2 linked regions of the Sus scrofa genome follow. The protein of the gene in region 1 interacts with the protein of each later gene in a biochemical or structural test. Links are inferred from orthologs where the notes say so. Each region holds a gene or a part of one and is shown in the gene's direction. Other genes may lie near its edges. The genes, in order: ARIH2 and CKB.

Region 1 (6,995 bases):
AGACTCCTAGCCTGGGAACCTCCATAAACCGCCAGTGGGGCCCTAAAAAGCAAAAAAAAAAAAAAAAAAAACCAACCAACCAAACAAAAAAAACAACAAAGAAAGAAACTCACCTTTAGCAAGGAAAAGACAGGGCCGGTACATGGGATTCCAATACATTGTACAATACACCCATATGCTTGATGTGTGAATGATGCAAATGCAATAATTACGCAGAAAAAAATGTTCCCTTTTATTTATTGGAGAGGATTTATTACCAATAACACAAAGTGAGAGATTCTAATTAAGTAAAAGATATCTTGTTACCAGAAAATACATTTTGTGTCCTTTACTAATGTCATGATGTAATGGATATGTTTTGTCAAAACAAATAAAATAAGTACACTGGGTTATACACACACTTTTGCGTTACTAATATATAAAATTTATAATTTTTTTTTTTTGTCTTTTTGCCTTTTCTTGGGTCGCTTCCGTGGCATATGGAGGTTCCCAGGCTAGGGATCGAATCGGAGCTGTAGCCACTGGTCTACGCCAGAGCCACATCTGAGCCGCATCTGCAATCTACGCCACAGCTCACGGCAACGCCAGAACCTTAACCCACTGAGCGAGGCCAGGGGTCAAACCTGAAACCTCACGGTTCTTAGATTCGTTAACCACTGAGCCACTGGGGAACTCCTAGAAAATTCATAATCTTATGTTATTCACTCCTTACTATTAATTTTCACTTCAAATTAATTTGGGGCTTCTTTGTATTTGAATGCACTTGATTTGGATACATGCTGTGAGTTAAACTGGAACCTGAAAATCGTGTACAAGAAATATACCAATAGGAGTTCCCCCAGTGGCTCAGTGGTAAGGAACTGGATTAGTACCCATGAGGACACAGGTTCCAACCCTGGTCCTGGCGTCAGTGGGTTAATGATGCAGTGTTGCCATGAGCTGTGGTGTAGGTTGCAAACGCGGCTGGTTCGGATCTGGTGTTGCTGTGGCTGTTGGGTAGGCCACAGCTGCAGTATGATACCATCCCTAGCCTGAGAACTTCCATATGCTTCGAGTGCGGCCCTAAAAATACCACCCCCCCCAAAAAAAAAACCCGAAGCAGCTTTTCCATGCTGTCCAGCAGCAACCTGAGTGAGCCTACATGGTTCTATCTATCCATAATACTTGTTAAAGGTCATAGAAGGTACTGAATGTCATATTGGCACTTTCTATACTTCTTGAAGAAACTGTGCAGCAAGAAAGTTAAGATTCAGCCTTGGGTGAATGGGAGAAGTAGGCTGCGGAAAGGGAAAAGGAAGCTTGGTGTGGTCCTGCAGATCCGCGGCCACCAGGGGACGGCATCTGAATGTAGGCAGAAAATCCCGACCCGGTGCGCTGACCCGAAGACCCAGCTCTCCTTTGATCTTTGATCAGAGAGCGGATGGGAAATAGAAGTCCTTTATCCATTCCACGAACGTCAGGGTGTCTTCTCCGTGCCGGACACGGCTAACAAACGGTGAAGTGAGGAGTCCATCAGAAAAACTCGGGTTTAGGAGTTCCCGTCGTGGCACAGTGGTTAAAGAATCTGACTAGGAACCATGAGATTGCGGGTTCGATCCCTGGCCTTGCTCCGTGGGTTAAGGATCCGGCGTTGCTGTGAGCTCTGGTGTGGGTCGCAGACGTGGCTCGGATCCCATGTTGATGTGGCTCTGGCGTAGGCCGGTGGCTACAGCTCCGATTCGACCCCTAGCCTGGGAACCTCCATATGCCGCGGGAGAGACTCAAGAAAAGGCAAAAAGACCAAAAAAAAAAAAAGAAAGAAAGAAGAAAAACTCAGGTTTAGGGTATCCCGGCGGGCGGCGCTGGTAGGAGAAAGCAGGAAGAGATGCAGTGAGTGACCCCTCTCCAATAAGCCAAACCCTTTCCTCTGCTGCCCCTCGCAGCAGTCGGCGCCGGCAGTGCGCTGGGCACACTCTGGGTCGGAGCGCTAAGCTGCAGAGAAGCAACCGCGCAGAAGCGTTATCACCCAGCGCCAGTCACGACCCGGGCGACCGTGGGGCGACCTCAGGCCGGAAGTGACGCAACTGCTCCGAACACTTCCGGAGCTGCGAAGAAGGCTCCGCCAGAGGAAGCAGCGCGGGCCTTGACCGGCGTTGGCTCGCCGCCTCCGCCGCCGCCGCGCCTGTGTCCGGTTCCTCAGGCCTGGCCCGACCCAGTTTGGTCCGCCCGGGCTCAGCGGCCCCGGGGCCGCGGCTCCCGGTGAGTGCGCATTGCGAGTCGCGGCCTTGTTTACCCGAGCGGGCCGGGGGAGGGGGGGTGGGCTCTCCTCGCGCCTCCCTAGCCAGGCCGGGGCTCCGCCTTCGTCGCTGCCCGCGAGGTCCCGGCGCCCCCCGCAGCCTTTTCACTGTCTCAGCGCCCTCTGCTACCCGCCGAGGGGCGGCTAAAAACCGTAGTCTGAGCGGACTAGCGCCTGGCGCTTCTCCGTTTTTCCTCTTCTAGCCGCTTGCTCTGCTCGCGTAAAGGTCGGAGGCCGGCGCCTCTCACCGACTGGCGCCGGCGCATCTGGGCCCTCTCCGCCGGCCACACCAGGGAGACTCACTGCCTCCGGAGTTTCCCATTCGAGTCATCACTGGGAACTCTCGCAATGCCTCCCGCGCGGCTAGTTAACGCCCGCCAGTGAAGGCTCCCCAGCGCGTGGGCTCCGTGTCCTCGCGGATATCCCGGCCCTTCGGACACGATATGCAGCCCAGGAACTGCGCCGCCGCCTCGGGGGACCCTGCTGTGCTAGCCGCGGGAGAGGCTACTGTGTTCTCGGATGACTTCACCTCAGTACTGATTGTTACCCTGTCCCATAGAACTTTCTCTCACAATGCGTATATTCTGTACCTTTGAGTAACCCTTGACCACTAGCCACCCGTAGCCCTTGAGCATTTGATTTATGGATAGTGCGACTGAACAGCCAAATGTTAAATTTTGTTTAATTTTTAAGTTAAATAACCGTGTGTTGTTAGTGACTACCGTATTACCTTGCGGATTTAATGTAGGGTTTTGAAACTAAGTTGCTGATTCATATTTTTTTACTAGGTTTTCTTCGGAGATGTAGATTTAGTAAATGACTATTTAGCGCTAAATATTATATCTGTAGTTAAACATCGTTAGATCCACCAAAATGTTTTTGTTTTGCTCATGTCAACTTTAAACTGAGAAGTCTTCCGTTTCAATTCTTTAGCACGGAGTGGATGTCAGGTCTTCTGAACACGTGACTTTGGGGGTGGAGTGGGAAGTAGTTTCAGTTATTCCTTTTCTGTTTGGGATGTAGGGATAGTATTTAACATCCAGAGGAAATCAAACCGTTATCATCTGTTCTGTAATAAGGCAATAACGTACTGGTCTCCTTAAGCAGTGTCAGTATTCTTTCAAGTAGAATAAAGTTTATTTAACTTTGAAAAGGTAACAAAAATTAAGATTTTATTTAAGTCTAGACTTAGAACACTCAGTAAGTATGAAATGGTGTTCTTCTTTTTGGAAGGGAGCCTGATGTTTTCCCCTCCTTCTTGAGTATTAAGTTGATGAGAAACCTGTGGGCAACCCTTAAAGCCCAAATCCTGGAGAGAAATCCGGAGAAAGTGAAAACCTTGCTCTTTTATTGTAATTCTGGAGGTGGCTTTGTGAATAGTATTAGGCTCTCCAGGAGAGTGATGGGGAGTTAGGAGTCCTCATAGGCCACGGATCTGGTGAAAGTGTAACACTGGACTCTACTGGTTGGCAGCAGTGTGGACCTGGGCAAGTTATTTAATCTTTTTGAACTCTTTTCCTCATTTATAAGAAGGGGATGATAGCTACTTTGTAGAGTTATAAACATTTAATGAGAATGAATCTGACCTGAAATTGGTGTCATTAAATGAAAGCTATTATTGGTAGTGCTGTTTTGCAGATGGGAGCAATATTTATAATACTGTTTATGCTTATTTGCCCAGTAAGCAGTATCTTATGTAAAAATGCAGATAAAAGTCAAATTTTAGGAATGGAGTTCACATTGTGGCTCAGTGGGTTAGGAACCCAACAGTGCTGGTGAGGATGAGGGCTTGATATCTGGCCTCTCTTAGTGGGTTGAGGATCCGGCGTTGCCACAAGCTGCAGTGTAGGTTGCAGATGTGGCTTGGATCTGGTGTTGCCATGACTGTGGTGTAGGCCTGCACCTGCAGCTCTGATTCTGCCTTTAGCCTGGGAACTTCTGTATGCCACAGGTGGGGCTGTGAAAAGAAAAAAAAGAAAAGTCACATAGCCCTAAACATGTCAGAAGAGAGGTGGGAAATGGGTGTTAACATTACCTAGTGAGCATTCTGTTGGGGACTTTTTTTGTTGTTGTTGTTGTTGTTTGTTTTTTAGGGCTGCACCCACTGCATATGGAGGTTCCCAGGCTAGGGCTTGAATCAGAGCTATAGCTGCCAGCCTACACCACAGCCACAGCAACATGGAATCCGAGCCACATCTGCAACCTATACCACAGCTCATGGCAACGTGGGGATCCTTACCCACTGAGCAAGGCCAGGGATCAAACCTGCGTCCTCATGGATGCTAGTCAGATTTGTTAACTACTGAGCCACAATGGAAACTCCTGGGGCGTTTTTTTATTTGAAAATAATTTTTTCATGAATAGAGATCTGAAGTATTGGCAGTATTCTCTAAGTGTTAGATTACCACAGTAGAGATGACTTTAGAGTAAAAGTCCAGTTTAAGTCAGTTGCAATTTGCTTTGTCACTCTCTATGTAACATTTAGGATTGAAATTGTGGTAATTAATTTAGGGAATCTGAAAAATAAGAGTGAAGTGGTGGGCTTTCAAACTGAGGGAGGGAACTGGGTATCCGTTTTTACCACCAGTACTCCACGTTAAATTATTGTCAGATGTTTAACTCTTTTCTTAGAAGGTCATGTCACTCTTGTCAATATGTAATTATATCATATGGGTTTCTATGGGACTTAAAATAGTTTCTGGTCCCTTGCTGCTTGTCCTTTTAAATGTTTACTTTTTAAAAAATAAATTAGCAAATTTAGGGTACCAATTTAAAAGTATATAAATAGAATTATATCTCTTTATTTTAGATGGAAATTATACAATATAGGCTATTTGGGTGACATCTTCCTGAAAGATCTTCAAGAATTACAGGTATTTTTAATTTAAATTTTAAATTTTAATTAAATTTTAATTTTCTCCTAAAGGAAAAAAAACCATAGTTGAGTTCAATTGTGATTAGGTGGTTCTGCCATACGAAACAATTCATTAAAAGTCAAATTGCGGAGTTCCTGTCGTGGCGCAGTGGTGAACGAATCCGACTAGGAACCATGAGGTTGAGGGATCGATCCCTGGCCTTGCTCAGTGGGTTAACGACCCGTTGCCGAGAGCTGTGGTGTAGGTCGCAGACGCGGCTTGGATCCTGCGTTGCTGTGGTTCTGGCGTAGGCTGGCAGCTACAGCTCCAATTAGACCCCTAGCCTGGGAACCTCCATATGACGCAGGAGCGGCCCAAGAAATGACAAAAAGACAAAAAAAAAAAAAAAAAAAAAAGTCAAACTGCAAGTATGTTAACTGCCCTCTCATTAACGTGACTTTTTTAAAAGAAAAATTCGAGCATTTGTATGTAACATCAGACAATGATATTTTTATAATATCATTAAAATGTAACTTGGGAGTTCCTAAGGTTCTGCACTGTCACTGCTGCAGCTTGGTTCACTGCTCTGGGGCAGGTTTGATCCTTGGCCTGGGAACTTCCATATGCTGTGGGCTTGGCCAGATGAACAAATAAGTAAAATGTGGCTTGGTAGTCCTTTTGACTGGCCATATCTTCAGGACACATTCATTTAAAAATTTTGGTTTTAATTATAGTTGATTTTTTTTTTTTTTTTTTACTTTTTTGGCCTAACCACAGCATATGAAGTTACCAGGCCAGGGATCAGATCCAAGCTGCAGTTGATACCTAAGCTGCAGCTTTGCCAATGCAGGATTCCCAACCCACTATGAGGGGCTGAGGAATTGAACCTGCGTCCCAGTTGTGCCATAAGGGGAACTCCTGTGGTTGATTTTTTTTCTTTGGAGAGATTATCAAACAGGTTTTTTTCTGTTTTTGTTTGTTTGTTTGTTTGTTTTTTTGCTTTTTCAGGGGGCACCTGTGACATATGAAAATTCCCAGCTAGAGGTCAACTCAGAGCTACAGCTTCTGGCCTACACCACAGCAACAGCAATGCCAGATCTGAGTCTTGCCTGTGACCTACACCACAGCTCATGGCAACACCAGATCCTTAACCCACTGAGCAAGGCCAGGGATCGAACCTGCATCCTCATAGATACTAGGCAGATTTGTTTCGGCTGAGCCACCACAGGGACTCCTAGTTTTATATTTAAATCACTATTTAAATATACAATGATACTGTTCATTGGAAATGATCACATGAAGTAGTTCTTGTGTAGGGAAATTAATGGGTATTTGCAAAAATCTTCTCTGAGATGAAATTTAGGCTTGTGATTGTTTTGCTTTCTAAACTAGTAATCTCTTCATTTTTATGTAATTGAGTAACATTTTGATCTGTGAGGATTTTTCAGTAGCTAGTTGCATTTGATCTCTTATTTCTTCATGATAAGTAGATTCTGGCTTTTCCTAGCTATGATCCTGTGAAAGCAGAATATTTAGTTTTCTTTCATTACTGGGCCAGTTTCTTTGCTTCTTAGTGCCCCTTTTAAAGGATTAAGTAGAACCTTTTAAAATAGAAAAATTATTTAACTTTGCAGATAGGAGGAGGAGGTTGAAGAACTATTTGACTTTTATTTTGTCTATACTGTGCACCTTTTCCCCCATATATCTGACAGTGATGTATGTAAAACAATATTATTCTTTCCCTAGATATTATAGTGGGAAAGAACTGTCTGTGTCACCTCTCAGTGGGGCATGATAGGCTAAGAGATTTTAAACTTTGGTAGTTCAGCCTTTAGGTTGTTTCCCTGTGGGCACCAGCTGTGGGG
Region 2 (6,995 bases), on another chromosome or scaffold:
CACTTCCACCGTCACAGCTGCTGACCATGCACTCTGTCACTGTCAGTCCGAGTCCAGCCCCCCGGGCTTGGCCCGCTGGGGGTCCCTGGGGTGGGCCCTGCGTCTGGTTAGCACAGGCCCAGGCCCTCGAAGATCACTCAGGGCTTGCCAGACCTCTGACCTGGTCCCCCTGTCACCCACCTTCTGATCTTCCCTTTGCTTATCTGCAAAAGTAGGACAAAACCCTCATCTCAGAAGGCTGGGGACCGGGGCAGGAGCAACCCCAGGGCCTGGCCCTGGGAAGACCCCAAGGCCCCTGGACTTCACCTCTCCTTGCTCCTGGAGGGAAGTGAGAACAATGGGGGTCCTTCCCTTCCCCCATCCCAAGTTGGTCAGGCAACTCGAGGGCGGGGAGGGGGAGGGGAAAGGTGGCCTTCTGGGAAGCTGCAGACAAAGAGCCCTGAGGCGGGCAGGTCTGAAAGCCAAGGAGGCTTTCAGGGCCAGCAGCTCTGTTTCCAGAAACAGAAACTTGAGCCCATCAGGCCTTTGGGGGTGGGGAACTGGGGAAGGCAGCTGCAGATCCTTCTAAAATTAGGGGAAGGGGCTGCAGGGGGCACAGAATGCAGGAATTTCAGGCTTAAGGGACACCTGCTGAGACCGCAGAGACTGGCGGGCGGGCGGAGGGAAGGCAGAAGTCCTGGTGTAGACAGGCCTGAGTGTCCCTCACTGCCGGGTGGCTCCCCTGCCTCAGTTTCCCGCTCGGAGGCAGACAGCGGGTGGGAGAATCCAGAATGTCCAGGGCCATTTGCCTTTTTACCTTGATCTGTTTTATGGGTCTAAAAACATGCTGACTGGGAGCAAGTCAAAGCATGCCAGGGTATGCAAGGAAAGAGGCAGGAGTCCCTCCCCGGTGAACACAGGACTGCATGGAGGCAGAGGCCGGCGGACTTCCCTTTCCTCCAGTGCCTCTTCCTCGGAGGCTCCAAATACACTGGAATTTCTACTCTATCCCTGCCCCCGAGGCTCTCATCTCCTTCCATCCCTTGAGGCTATTTTGGTCATTGGTTGGCTTGCTCCAGGCATCTTCTGTCCCCCAGCAGCAGCCCACAGAGCTCACTGTGCAGCCCTGGAGAAATTCTGCTAAACCCACACAGAGATAAGGGTTTCCTCCCTTCCTTGCTTCACTCACAAAGCAATATGATGGACATTAACCACACAAGCTCCAAGTCACGCTTTTTAATAGCTGCGTAATACTCCACACTGGGAAAATGCCTTCCCTATGCCCTGGCCAGTTCCCAAATGTTGGGCATCCAATAGTATCCAGATTTATTGGTGTTTGTTTCTCCTACTACACATCTCTTGGTCTACCTGCAAAGAGAAACGAGGCTGCCCTTTCCAAAGACTGGATTCCTAGAAGTGGTATTGCTGGGTCACGGAGAAGGAACATTTTACATTTTAATAGATCTTGCCAAGTGACTTTCCAAAAAGGATGTAGCAATTTGAAGCTGCGACAGCGTGTGAACGCCTGTCTCCCCACGTGCCACCCTGTAGCCCACACTGACTGGGGTCAATCTTCTGCAATTTGGGTGTGTGGTGGGTAGTGGACCGCATAGTCATTGTTGTCTTAACTTGCATGATTCAGATTTTTAGTGAGTTATTGTTTGTTAGCATTTCCCCTGTTTTTTTGCCTAGAGTCTCCAAGTTCTGCCTTTGGGGTGGGGGGTGGGGAGATGTATTTGTCTCCGACAGAGAGGGCCCAGGCCTAGAGGCTGTGCACTGCCCAGCAGCCTCTCAAGGCCATGTGTTCCTGCATCGACCAGGAGGGGCCGGGTCTGGGGAGGGGGGGTGGTCTCTGGCTGGGATCCCCAAAATCCCCTGGGAACTGCCCAAGGTCAATCTACCAAGGGTGCCGCCGGGCTGGGCGGCATCCAGACTTCGCCCTCCCTCTGCACCAAGATGGCCCGGGAGATGCCTGCGGGCACCTTGAGGAAGGTCAGAGGCTTGGGGCCAGCTCGGGCCGGCGGGAGAAGGGAGGGGTTTGGGGGGTGGCAGTACCTGCTGTGGAAGCCCTGGACGCTCTCGCCTGGCCCCTCGCTGGGAGCACCGCGGAGACTGGCGGGCGGAGGGAAGGCAGAAGTCATGGTGCAGACAGGCCTGAGCGTCCCTCACTGCCGGGTGGCCCCCCTGCCTCAGTTTCCCGCTCGGAGGCAGACAGCGGGTGGGAGAATCCAGAATGTCCAATGGCCTAAAGTTCCCGCTTTGGGATCCTGGGCGGGCGGGGTGGGAGGGCTGCAAGGGGTCCCAGCCAGGGGGTAGTCGCGGTGGGCAGCCTGGGAGGGGTGGGGGGGGGTGTAGGGGCCCCGGGCGGCGGACAAAGCGGCGGGCACCACCCCGCAGCGCGGTCCAATGGAATGAATGGGCTATAAATAGCGGCCAATGGGAGGCCCGCGTCGCGCCCCTTAAGAGCAGCTGGAGCTCTGAGCGACCGCTGTTCGCCTGCGACGCGCCCGGAGCTGCCGGTCTCTCGAGAGCTCCCACCCCTGCCTGGCCGCTCAGTGAGTGGGCCATAGGGCCCGGGCCGCTGGGGCAAGGGCTGCGCGGGACACTGGGGCAAGGGCTGCGCGAAGAGGCCGGGGCGTCCCGCGCTCGGCGCAGCCCCCCGGCCCACCGCCTAGGACGGGAGCATCAGCTAGGCTGGGGGTCGTCGTGGTAGATGTGATAGTCTCCTGCGCGCAGCGCAGACCTCGCCTGACCTTGGCCCGGTCCTTGGGTAGGTTTGCAGGTGGGAGGCTCAGAGCCTCGGGCCCCGCTGACCCCCACGTCTCCCCGCAGCTCGCCGCCGCCGCCGCCGCCGCCGCCGCCATGCCCTTCTCCAACAGCCACAACACGCTGAAGCTGCGCTTCCCGGCTGAGGACGAGTTCCCCGACCTCAGCGGCCACAACAACCACATGGCCAAGGTGCTGACCCCCGAGCTGTATGCCGAGCTGCGCGCTAAGAGCACGCCCAGCGGCTTCACGTTGGACGACGTCATCCAGACCGGCGTGGACAACCCAGGTACCGCACCCTACTCGCGGGGTCAGGGTGCCCGCGCCGTATACGTGACATATATCGGGAGTCTAGGACCCAGGGCATCCCCCAGCCCCCCTCGGGCCAAGGTCCCGGCGCCCCTTCTCCGCGCGCGGCCACAGGATCCTCAGCAGCTTGCCCGGGCCTGGCAGTGACGTCACTGTCCCCATTCCGTGTTCCCCTCTAGGCCACCCCTATATCATGACTGTGGGCTGCGTTGCTGGCGACGAGGAGTCGTATGACGTGTTCAAGGAACTCTTTGACCCCATCATTGAGGACCGGCACGGCGGCTACAAGCCTAGCGATGAGCACAAGACCGATCTCAACCCAGACAACCTTCAGGTGCAGGGCGGCCTCGGGCGGCGGGTCGGGGTAGGGAGGGCTCTCTCGACGCTGAACCCCGCTTGGTCTCCCAGGGCGGCGACGACCTGGACCCCAACTACGTGCTGAGCTCGCGGGTGCGCACGGGCCGCAGCATCCGCGGCTTCTGTCTACCCCCGCACTGCAGCCGCGGGGAGCGCCGCGCCATCGAGAAGCTCGCTGTCGAAGGTACAGGTCGGGCCGACTGGGTGCCTCCCGCGCCCCCCCACCCCTCGGTGCCGGTCCCTGCCCGCTTGTTTACCGGTCATCTGAGCCGCCGCCGCGCTCTTATCTGCGAGCCGGCTCCGGTTTCCTGGAGGGACAGGCCCAGCACCCTGGGTCTGCGGCGCACTGGGGGCCGGCGAGGGTCGGCCCGCCGCCCCGACCGACCGCGAGGACTGGATTCCCAGCAGGCTGGGCGGGCATTGGGAGGTGGGATGCACTCCTGTCGCGAGAGGGGGTTGAGGGTATGGGCACGGACCCTCCCCTCCCCCGCCCCCTCCCGCTCGTCCTCCTGAGCGCGCCCCTTCGCAGCCCTGTCGAGCCTGGACGGTGACCTGGCGGGGAGGTACTACGCGCTCAAAAGCATGACCGAGGCGGAACAGCAGCAGCTCATCGACGACCACTTCCTTTTCGACAAGCCCGTGTCGCCCCTGCTGCTGGCCTCGGGCATGGCCCGCGACTGGCCCGATGCCCGCGGCATCTGGTGCGTAAGGCCCAACCCCCCTCCCGCGGGTCCCTCCACCCCGCCCCTTCGTCCTCGAAGCGGCCGAGTCAGGAGGAAGAGGGAGGAGCCTTGCTCCTGGGAGAGGTTTGGTGCCGCCCAGGCCTCCTTGCAGGTGACCTTGAGCACGCAGGTGTGTGAAGGACCCTGGCTGATAGAGGCCTCAGCCTCTCGGGATCTTAGAGGTGGGGGACCCGTCCTGCTGGCTTTTCGCCTTCAAACACCCCGCCTTGGGAGAAGGACCTTGCCTTTTCTCTTTCTAGCCCACTTCCCGCTGGGACTCTGAGTTGCTGGGTGACGCAGAAGTTTCCTCGGTTGGGGAGTCGGGGGAGAAGGGCTTACCAGCTCCTGTTTCCACTTCCAAAGCCAGATAAAGTGCATTCTCCTGGCCACCTCTGCCCCTTCTCCCCTCTGTGGGGACTGTACCCCCCCATGCGCCACCCAGGCTAAACTGGGCAAGCTGGGAAGTGGCCCAAAGCCTTTTCATCCCCTCCCTGCCTGACCCCAGAGTGTAGACGGGGCTGGGGTCCTAGCAACAGCCCGCACCCCTGGTACAGGTGGGACGAGCACCTCTGGGACTTGAGAATTGGGTCTGGGGCCCCCTCGTTTTGGTTTCTGGACGTGGCCCGAGACCACAGTCCAGGGAGGAGGCTGACTGTGGGCCTTCCGCAGGCACAATGACAATAAGACCTTCCTGGTGTGGATCAACGAGGAGGACCACCTGCGGGTCATCTCCATGCAGAAGGGGGGCAACATGAAGGAGGTGTTCACCCGCTTCTGCAATGGCCTCACTCAGGTCAGGCCTGGCCACCCCCAGGCGGGGCTGCGACGGTGGGAGCCTGGTGCCTGGGAGGGGGCAGGACGAGGCCCTGGGGTTCAGGCAGATCTGTAAGGAGCTCCTGGGTCCCCTCTGGTCCCCTGGGGGTGCCTCAGCCCATCCTCCCCTCTGACACCTTCTCCGCCTCTAGATCGAAACCCTCTTCAAGTCCAAGAACTACGAGTTCATGTGGAACCCTCACCTGGGCTACATCCTGACCTGCCCATCCAACCTGGGCACGGGGCTGCGGGCAGGTGTGCACATCAAGTTGCCCCACCTGGGCAAGCACGAGAAGTTCCCCGAGGTGCTCAAGCGGCTGCGGCTCCAGAAGCGAGGCACAGGTGAGCTGGGTGGGGACTGCAGGCATCCCCTCAGGGTGCCTCCCTTGACACCCCCCCAACCCTGCTGACCCGTCTGTCTCCCCAGGCGGTGTGGACACCGCCGCTGTGGGCGGGGTCTTCGATGTCTCCAATGCTGACCGCCTGGGCTTCTCCGAGGTGGAGCTGGTGCAGATGGTGGTGGACGGGGTGAAGCTGCTCATCGAGATGGAGCAGCGGCTGGAGCAGGGCCAGGCCATTGATGACCTCGTGCCCGCCCAGAAGTGAAGCCCTGGCCTGCACCTGCTGCCACCACCAGCCCCGCTGCTTCCTAATTTATTGCCCGGGCAGTGCCCACCATGCACCCCTGAGGCTCACCCTTTGGTGGCTGAGTCCTTAGCCTCGCTGTAGAGACTTCTCCTGCCGCCCTCAGTAGAGTTTATTTTTGTGATGGCTAAGATGTTGCTGATGCTGAAATAAACAGGTTTTGGCCTGCCCCAAGTCTGAGTGGTGCCTCCTCTTTCCCAGGGCAGCCCAGGGCCCCGCAGTCGGGTTGTGAGGACTGAGCCCTGGGTCTGCCCTTCTGCGTGCCATGGGACAGGAAGCTGGAGGCTGTCCGGACAGTTAGCCTGCTGTACCCCCTCCCCAGTCCTATTCATGAGCCTCTTCTGCCATCCTGTCTACTTAGCTTCCTTGCAGGTTTTGGGTGGGCTGGGGGTGGGGCCGGGGGGGGTGGAGAGAGGAACCCCAGGGTGGCAGAGCTCTGCCCTGAGGACCTAAGGGATTTTCGGGCCTCGGGGGTAGAGCATTGCACGCTGCTTAGCCCCATCCTGCAGTGAGCAGTCCAGGGGCTGGCGGGGTAGGGGGGATGGGGACTGGAGCCCAGAAACTTGATGCCTTTTCCGGTGCTCCACCCCCAAGTCCTGTTACTTTTCTTCCTGGCAGCTTGTCCCTGCCACCATCCCCTCCCACCACCCCAACACCTACTCTAGCTCCTAAATAGTCTCTCTACTTCCCTCCCAACCTCCACCTAGGCTGAACTGAGCCCTTCTTGGCGCCCCAGGCTCCATACCCTTCCAGGAAGCCCTGGAACCCCTTCAGTCCCCTTCCTCCTGGCAAGCCTCTCCAAAACCCTCAGGTGCCCCAGTCCCTGGGCCTCTCTCTTCATTAGGGTCCCTAGGCAGAAGGAGATCGGGTCTGTTCTGGAGGCGGTCTTCTGGTCTATTTCCCAGTTGCTACCATCCCTGTCTCAGGGGTCTCACCAGAGATGAGCCCCTGAGGGGCTCAGCCAGGGCACCCCCCAGCCTGTCTTCTTATGCTCCTCACTCTGCAGTCTGTGCTGCCACCTGCTGGCCAGGGCCACCTCTGTTTTCCGATTCCCCAGCCCCATGTGGATCTAGGGCCCCCAGTTCCATAAGTCAGCCAGGCAGGCCTTAGCCTGCTGAGGTTGGGAGAAGCCGGGCATGGCTCATGACAATCTCTCGCTGGGCAGACAAAGCCTAATAAAGAGCTGCAGGAGGGGTGCCCTGTCATCTGCCTCAGGGGCCAGGCAGGGCAGCGCTCAGCCTCTGCCAGGGAGAGGGCATGGGCCCACAGGCTGGGTGAGTGTACACTTGGGGACCGCCTGGGGGCCAGGGTTCAGTCCCAGGCTTGCCTTTTCGCCATGAAGGTTCAGGTGAGGGGCACATAGCAGGCAGCAACTCCATTCTCAGCTTCCTCTAGCCAGCGTGG

Evidence for each region.
Region 2: of the proteins of ARIH2 (region 1) and CKB, one has a biochemical effect on the other in vitro, tested with the Homo sapiens proteins (2 studies listed by BioGRID). The link is inferred for Sus scrofa from reciprocal best matches to the Homo sapiens genes ARIH2 and CKB.

The regions. Positions count from the first base shown.
Region 1 is NC_010455.5:31,568,008-31,575,002, forward strand, and holds the start of ARIH2 (E3 ubiquitin-protein ligase ARIH2), read left to right. Parts: upstream 1-2,121; 5' UTR 2,122-2,122; coding exon of another isoform or gene 2,123-2,376; exon of another isoform or gene 2,377-2,456; coding exon of another isoform or gene 2,457-2,541; exon of another isoform or gene 2,542-3,762; intron 3,763-5,083; exon of another isoform or gene 5,084-5,084; 5' UTR 5,085-5,148; intron 5,149-6,995.
Region 2 is NW_018084979.1:2,069,613-2,076,607, reverse strand, and holds CKB (creatine kinase B-type), read left to right. Parts: upstream 1-2,586; 5' UTR 2,587-2,749; intron 2,750-2,811; 5' UTR 2,812-2,841; coding exon 2,842-3,034; intron 3,035-3,233; coding exon 3,234-3,388; intron 3,389-3,462; coding exon 3,463-3,595; intron 3,596-3,940; coding exon 3,941-4,112; intron 4,113-4,802; coding exon 4,803-4,926; intron 4,927-5,098; coding exon 5,099-5,288; intron 5,289-5,373; coding exon 5,374-5,552; 3' UTR 5,553-5,765; downstream 5,766-6,995. UniProt on the Homo sapiens protein: Reversibly catalyzes the transfer of phosphate between ATP and various phosphogens (e.g. creatine phosphate).